2 linked regions of the Xenopus tropicalis genome follow. The protein of the gene in region 2 interacts with the protein of the main gene of each other region in a pairwise test. Links are inferred from orthologs where the notes say so. Each region holds a gene or a part of one and is shown on either strand. Other genes may lie near its edges.

Region 1 (3,826 bases), about 77 Mb from region 2:
TGAAAAAAATACTCTCTTCTCTAGAGAGTCCAAACAGAAGCTTGAAAACCACATATTAACCTTTGAAGCCAAATCAGATTTCAATCTAAACAAGTTATCCTTTGATAATGAAGAGAGAAAAACAGAATTGGATGAAGATTATCTTGAAGGAGATTCTTTCTTTGATGATCCTATTCCAAAACCAGAGAAAACATATGGATGGTGAGAAATAGATTCTGTTGCGTTTTCAATAGATGCATTTATTTATTTATCAACACAGCAGTTCACTTTGTAACTGTTTTCTAGAGTTATCCTATAGAGAAGGCAGTTTTAAAGGAAATAATATATTCTATGGATCTCTTAGTGAATGATTTTTTATATGAACATTATGACCTCATACAAACACATGGAAAAGTGTAGTAGTAGGTTTTTTTAATGTTCCATGCAATATTGTATGTATACTGTTACATGCTGTGTAGTGAAGACATGCACAGTCTTGGTTCATTAACAGTAAGCAATATGATGTTACTTTAAAAGGATGCTATCATTAATTAATACCTAGCAATTTATTTAAAATTATAGTGCACCCGACTTGATTTGACTAAAATCAGTGTTGTAAAAGAATTTCCAGCATCTCACCAAAACACAAGGGGCATCTTACATCGCTCTGCGACCCCCAATCCATTTACATCACTGCTTCAGCCATTTCTAATTCATCTGTGTGTTGGGTATATCATGGGGTCATTTATTGCAACAAATGTAATTTGAAATCAGTTATCACATTTGATGAGTGTGACTTTAAAGTTTTTTTTGTGTCACTAACATTTTGGGACTAAAGCCTTGCCTCCTCCTCCCCCCCCCCCCCCCCCCCCCATCCAGTGTTACGTTCCTGTGGGGACTCTGACATTGCTTTAGCCATATTTAGACAAAGGACAGTGTAGTAGTACATTTTTTCGGGTTTTTCTAGTGCAAGTGTCATTTTTATCCTCTTTCCTCTAATGCTGATCCATTAACATGTGGAAAAAAGTGCTGAAGGAGCGGATGTTTCATTAAAAACAGGAGTCAGTTCAAATTCCACAGAAAGGTGAGAGACTCTCTTGGTGTGCCATATTAATCCTTGTTACCATTCCTATCAGTAGTTTCATCTGGCAGCTTTTATTTTGCCTACAGAGCTGTCTTTGCCAATCATAATCATTTCTTGAGTTTTGGTGATACATTTCCCTTTTTATTAGGAAAAGTGACCCCCCTAAGCATGGTGGAAGTGTTCCTGCTCATGCAACTTTGCCTCCATTAAAAACAGAAACAAGTTCCCGCTTTGGATCACTTAGCACCAGAGAATCTGACCGTAAGCTAAATTTCTACTTTTTGCATAATGGAAATATACTGTATGTGAAACTCTGTTTTCAGTTCTGACAAATGTCAGTTGTATGGTACAGTTCTGAATTGTTATTTTACAAACGGTATACAATACATTTAAAAATACCTTACATTTTTATAGAGGCAAGATGTATGTATGTATGTATGTATAACTTTATTTATAAAGCGCCACAAGGGTACTCAGCGCTGTACAGTCTTACAGAATACAAAATTACACACAGAGAGGACAAGTGATATAATAAATAAATTCAATAAATACATATATGTAAACATATATATATATAAGTGCCATGTGGTATGAGACACAGTAGGAAGGAGGTCCCTGCCCCGTAGAGCTTACAATCTGAGTGGTTCGGTAACATACAGGCACAAACTGGAAGGTAAGAGTGCATCAGGTATGGGCATTTGCCCTTAAGCGCAGGACTGGGCAAAATTAATGTCTTAGTGCTCCAGAAGGTAACAGCTAAGTGCTCCAGAAGGTAACAGCTAAGTTTTTTTCTTAAAGAGAGTGGGTGAGTTTTCCCTACGGAGGGATTCAGGGATAGAGTTCCAGAGGTAAGGAGCAGCGAGATAGAAAGGTTTAAGATGAGAGAGCGCAGTGGGTGTGGATGGTGTAAAGAGACGGAGGCTCTGAGAGGAGCGGAGGAGACGACCAGGAACATGTAGGGGGACCAGTGAAGAAATGTAGTGAGGAGCAGAGGAGTGAAGGGCTTTGAATGTCAGCAGAAGGATTTTGTAAGCTATCCTTTGCTTGACAGGCAGCCATGCTAGTGAGCTTAATTGAGACTGAGCAGGATCCCTCTTAGGAGAGAGCAGGAGGATCCTGGCAGCAGAGTTTAAGATTGATTGCAGGGGAGAGAGGTGGGAGTCTGGGAGGCCGGTTAGTAGGAGTAAGATCCATGTATTTACCTTTACTCATGATCACAAATAGGACTTTTATTTAATAAACTGTTTTTTAAGTTACATTTTTTTGTTTGTTTTTTTTTTTTGATGTTATAAAGCACAGGTTGTTGAGAGGGGGATTATTTCAGAAATAATGATTTTTTTATTAATTAGAATTAGGAAGTTTCTTATTTCCTAATTTCCATATTAAAATGGGTGTTTTACTTGTAAAGACCAACCTACTGCTCACCATCTCCAAGGGAAAAAAACTCCAAGCAGTTATAGAGAATCCATTGAAGGCAAGTCTGGCAAGTCTATGGAATGTTTATGCAAGAGCAAGCTTTGAATGAAATCGAGCTACAAACATTCTAAAGCAAAGTTCTTTATCTTGGGCTTATTTGTTTACATCGATTGCTGTTTCTCCTCAATGGTTTTTGTTTAAAAAGTTAAAATCATCTAATTGTAGATTTAAAAAAAAAAAAAAAAGATAAAAAGCCAAATAAAGCAAGATTTTTCTATTCTGTTTTAGTCAAACGTGACCATCAGTAAAAGTAATTTTAATACTAAGGGTCTCACAACCTTTTGCTGCATTCTAAGTTCAAATAAAGGATAAGAAATGGCATGCAGTAAAGTTGCCTGTTTGGTTTTTTAGACTTACTATGTTAAACAAGGACTTTCCTTTCACAAAAGAACTTGTAAAAATATTTCCTGTATCATGGGTTGGATTAGTTTATGTGGCTATTAACTGAAAAAGTACATATTTTTGCATTAATGTTCCTTTTATTTCCCTTTTCAAAGGAACTGGTGATGAAGATGATGACTACATTGATGATTTCAACAGGTAAAATCCGAAGAACACTATTTTTCTGCTAGTTAGTTATGACCTATATGTGCACGCCCATTTTTTACTGTAACAGTATGACAGTATGTCTGTTTAGTTAGAAGGGCAAGTGATTGTAAAAACTGATGTTACTTGTTTTTTACTTAACATATATTGTTAATTTCTCATTTGAAAAATGTTGTCTTTTTTTTTTTCTTTTAGCACCAGTCAGCGGTCAGATAAAAGTGACGTTAGTATTGGTGAGGAAATAGAAGAAGAAGAATTATCTGTAGATGATTTCATTGGTAGTGAAAAGGTAATAGTCCTTTTCTGTTTCTTAGCACCTGTCTTGTGCATTGTAACTAGTAACAGTGGATGTGGTTAAACTAAATGTAAACCACAGAGCTTTAGTTTGATGTATATGCCCTTATGTTGTACATTACAAGAATATGTTGCTGCTTATTAATGTACATTAATAATAATTAAAACAATAAGAATAGTGAGTAACTTAGTGAGTATACCACAGCCCTCTTTTTATAGAGTATGATTTTTCATAACTGATCCATGCTCCATCTGCTTTTGTTTTCATGAGTAAAGTTTGTTTATCTTTAATTGTTTATTTGCAAGATAAAGCCATTTTTTCAGCAGTATGACTGTTGCAAGGCAATCTTTAACTGAATGAGGGAATCTGAAGTATATGGTTATTTATAGCACCATTTGCACTTTTATGTGTTATATAGGCTGCCAGTGCAATTAATGATATTCAAA
Region 2 (4,252 bases):
TCTTTACAACAAGTCATTATTACAGGTATGGGATCCCTTATCCGGAAACTCATTATCTAGAAAGTTCCACATTACCGGAAGGCCATCTTCCATGGACTCCATTATAAGCCAAGAATTCTAATTTTTAAAAATGATTTTTTTTTTAATCTGTAATAATAAAACTGTACCTTGTACTTGATGGGAACTAAGATATAATTAATCCTTATTGGAAGTAAAACAATCCTGTTGGGCTTATGTAATGATTAAATGATTTTTAATTTAATATACTCAGGGTATGGAGATTCAAATTACCAAAAGAACCCTTTATCTGGAAAACCCCAGGTCCCAAGCATTCTGGATAACAGGTCCTATACCTGTATTGTTAACACATATTTATGAAACACCAATGTATTCCGCAGCTTTATCATTTAAAGATTATATGATAAGGGATGTGTACTGTTTTATCTTTTACTCCTAAAACGCCAATTAAGAAGGATCCCCACAACATGATGCTTTCACCTACCTGATTTATAGTAGTATTGGTATTCTTAGGGTGCTTATAGAAATTTGTCCATGAAAATAGTTTTTTTAATTAATGGCCCATGTTTTTTTCAAATTCTTATGAGTGAAAACTATAATTAATTCTGGATATGGTGGATCTTCATAATTAAGAGGAATAGGTTTTAATATGTTAAAATTTTAATCGGACTCAGCATGTGAGGGAGAGTCAGGTTGATAAATGCTACTCTTGAAAAGATCAAGCATCTTCTTGATGTGCAAAGATACATCATCTATTGCCTATGTGATCTAACAGAAATTTTCAAGTAAACAGTGTTTTATTTAATAATTCTTTTTTGAACATATTCATATCAGAGAAAGTGTCTAATACAGCTGCACTGCTGAAGGGCAAAACCAATAATGGCAAAGCAAATGAACCCAATTCTGAAAAAAAAGTTCCAACCCCAGTGGCATCTTTGTAACTTTTAACTTCAATCCAAAATCAGATTGGTTGCAGTCAGTGTTCCACCCTGATACATTATTCAACTTTCACCAATGCTGATCAAGTTTGCCTAGATCATCCTTATATGAGGGCATAAATGAAAGATTTGTAAGGAAACATTTTTATAGGGCCAAGAACGAGTTGGCTTAGTAAGCAAAGTGACTGAAATAACTATATATGTTTAAGTAGGCTTTGTTTAACCAACTTTGCAAATTCTGAAAAGTAATCTTTTAGGCCATTGGCTCACAGGGCAACGGAAGTGAGTGTGCTGGTAAAGTTCAGGTCCAGGTAGGGGCATAGAAATGAAAATCACATGGTTGTCCATTATCCTTGCTTTCTATAAAGAGGAAGGTGAATGATCAGCTCTCAATTACAAACTGGAATTTTAAGCCAAAATATGTTTCAGAAGTTTGCATATTATTTTTTCAAATCAGCTTCAATCAGTTGAACTTTTTTTTATAAAGAAGTGGATTTTTAGGTCATTATTTTGACTAAGCCCCCTGCTCACTAATCTCCTGATAGGCAGCTATTGTGTGGTCCTGAGCCGCAAGAGATTATATAAGGAGCTTCACCCAAGTGTTCCTCACAGCCTGGAAAGTTTTTGGAAGTTGAAAATCAGCTCAAACTGCTGAGGATCGATAAATATTCCCATATTTGATCAATGATAAATCAGTCTCCAAATCTTTATTTTTGTTAATTTGAACAAAGTATCATGCCTGGGTGCTGCCTATCAAGAACTTAAACAGTCCTTTAAATCATCAGCACACTCCAAGGGCTTGTAAATAATGTTTATACCTCTATTAGTTACAGCATGGTAACTGGTGTCAATGTTTGGTTGTAACTTAAGATCACACTAAAATACACTCCCACCATTACGAGAGACTGGGGATGTATGCTCTTCCTCTGCTTCTGAAGTTTCCCTGTCTTGGAACCTAAGGCGCGCAAAAGTAGCATATAGTAGCATATAGTTGCAATGGCAACATTTTGCTGGTTAGGGACGGGTGCAGGTTGAGTTTTTCCTGACCTGCACATCACTAATACATACTGTATGCATCCCTTATTCAACTCATTCACAGACAGTTAGGAATTTTGAATAGTATACAGGTATAGGATCTTTTATCAGTAATGTTTGGCTTCTGTTGTATTCTGGGTAAGTATTTTTTTCATAATTAGGATCACCATACCTTAGGTTTGCTAAAAACTTTAAATAGACCTAATGGGATATTTTTGCAGCCAATGTGGATCTATGGACATAAGTTATAAATAAGCACAAGGTACCCCCCCCCCCCAAAAAAATGTATATGCCTATAAATCTGATTTATTTAAGGGAAAAAAAATGCCCCCAACCTCCACCACAGAGTTCCTGGGGAAATCTGGTGACGGAGCTGGGGGGGGGGGGGGGGGTGAGGATTTCACGCCATAGGCACTGCGTAAATGACTTAACATCTGCCATGTAGGGGGCGTATTTAGGTCCAGTGCCACCAGCCCTGCCTGTATGTAAACAAGTTATCCTAAAGGTTAACAACCTCTTTAATGCTAATTAACAACATTAAATATTGAAAAATAAAAGCCAATAGTGTTGTTGTGCTACAGCATGGATTTATACTTTAGTATGGTTACCATGAAGTACAAGGTTATTGCCACAAGTAGAAATAAAAAAAAAAATCCATGTTTGTATTTTGGAGCTCTCTGGGGGGAATCATTTTGCATTAACCCCAGACATCACAATAATATCACTATAGAGTATTCCCTTATCCCCTTATCCTCAGACTGGCCAATAACATAACTGCACAAATGCATGAGTATTGTGACTTTACACAGATGCTAAGAGTGATAGTTTAACAAACGACAGTCACAGACAAAATGCAGCTGGGTGCTTACAGGTTTGAGTGCAACATGCACCCTGGGCCATTTACACAGCCCCCCCACCCACTCACCAGAACCACTGGTGCCCCTATAACTTACCACGCTCACTCCTGTGCCAGGAACTGCATTGGCTTAAACAGAGAGTCTGCAGTATTGTTGCCTGTAGCAACCAATAAGCAAATAGATATGAACGGTAACTTGCAAGCTGGAAAACGAAAGCAAAGATCTGATTGGTTGCTGTGGGGGGAAGGGGGAGAGACAAGGACTCCGCGTAATCAGAGCCAAGTCTTTTTTTCCTGAAGGGAAAGCAAGTGGGGGTGGGAGCACTGGCTATTCAGTTGTTCATTAGGCGGCTGCCTTGCCCTTACCTGATCAGTCAGTCAAGCTTCCGACACCCAAAGCCACAGGGAGCGGAGATCTCAAATACTGTCTCTCTATTGTCACTGTGCGAGGTGGGGGCAGGGGGCAGCCAGCACTGTGCCTGAGCTCTTCCTTAGGGGCCTGTTGGTAACACACATTGCTCAGAGATCTGCTAAACAGCCCCACACAGACCGCATTTGTTTATTTCATGTTTTCATTGTTCAAGCCAGCCGATAACTAGTGGCTGTGTTCCCTTGTGGATTCCAATAAATGCACAAAGCGAGTGTAAATTCCTGGCCATCTGCTGTCTTCCAGTGGTTGTGGAACTGCAGTTCTCTGTTTTTGTCTGGGGGGGAAAAAAGCATCAGAAAGCACAAAGAATGGCACCTAGAAGAATATTATATATTAAACTTGTAGAGTGGGTGGGTGACTGTGGCTTTGAAACAAAAGTTTTCAAGGGAGCATAGAACGCAGTGGTGTTGGGAACTTACATAAAAATACGCACAATAATGTGGAAAAAGTGGCAAGAGGAGAGGGGATACCCCACACACATGGGACAGGGAACATATATATCTCAGTCCTTATAGTGTCTGCACTCCAAAGCTTGCAGCTTTGCGGGGTGCACAGCCATATTTTAAGTATTCAGAGATAATTATTCCGTGGCCGTCACATCCTTAAAATTTCTCAATTTTATTTAAGACATATTGTTTTAAAAGAATCTGACGTTTCGGTCCACAATAGGACCTTTCTCAAGGATACAGTAGTGTTCACGATACTTTTAAATACAATCTCAAATTCAACAAGTGGAAAAGTGCCCAATCCCCATCATCAAACTATTATACAATTAGCCAATATTCTTGTGTATGTGCAAATTCAAATGGACCAGTGTCTGACCATTTGCAGTGCATAATAGTTTAAAAAATTCATATAAATTTTATAAATAATCTCATAATAAAACTAGTGTTTCATTCAGTAAAGTATTGTGCATAGTGTATTCACATAATTGCCATATGATATGAATACTTAAAAAGTGCAATGCTATAAAAT

Evidence for each region.
Region 1: the proteins of cep19 (region 2) and fgfr1op interact in binary tests that used the Homo sapiens proteins (3 or more experiments, as listed by UniProt). The two-hybrid records come from large-scale screens. The link is inferred for Xenopus tropicalis from reciprocal best matches to the Homo sapiens genes CEP19 and CEP43.

The regions. Positions count from the first base shown.
Region 1 is NC_030681.2:56,934,768-56,938,593, reverse strand, and holds part of fgfr1op (FGFR1 oncogene partner), read left to right. Parts: coding exon 1-201; intron 202-1,006; coding exon of another isoform or gene 1,007-1,063; intron 1,064-1,211; coding exon 1,212-1,324; intron 1,325-3,036; coding exon 3,037-3,079; intron 3,080-3,280; coding exon 3,281-3,374; intron 3,375-3,826. UniProt on the Homo sapiens protein: Required for anchoring microtubules to the centrosomes. Required for ciliation.
Region 2 is NC_030681.2:133,902,274-133,906,525, forward strand, and holds the start of cep19 (centrosomal protein of 19 kDa), read right to left. Parts: upstream 2,987-4,252; 5' UTR 2,945-2,986; intron 1,934-2,944; exon of another isoform or gene 1,775-1,933; intron 1-1,774. UniProt on the Homo sapiens protein: Required for ciliation. Recruits the RABL2B GTPase to the ciliary base to initiate ciliation.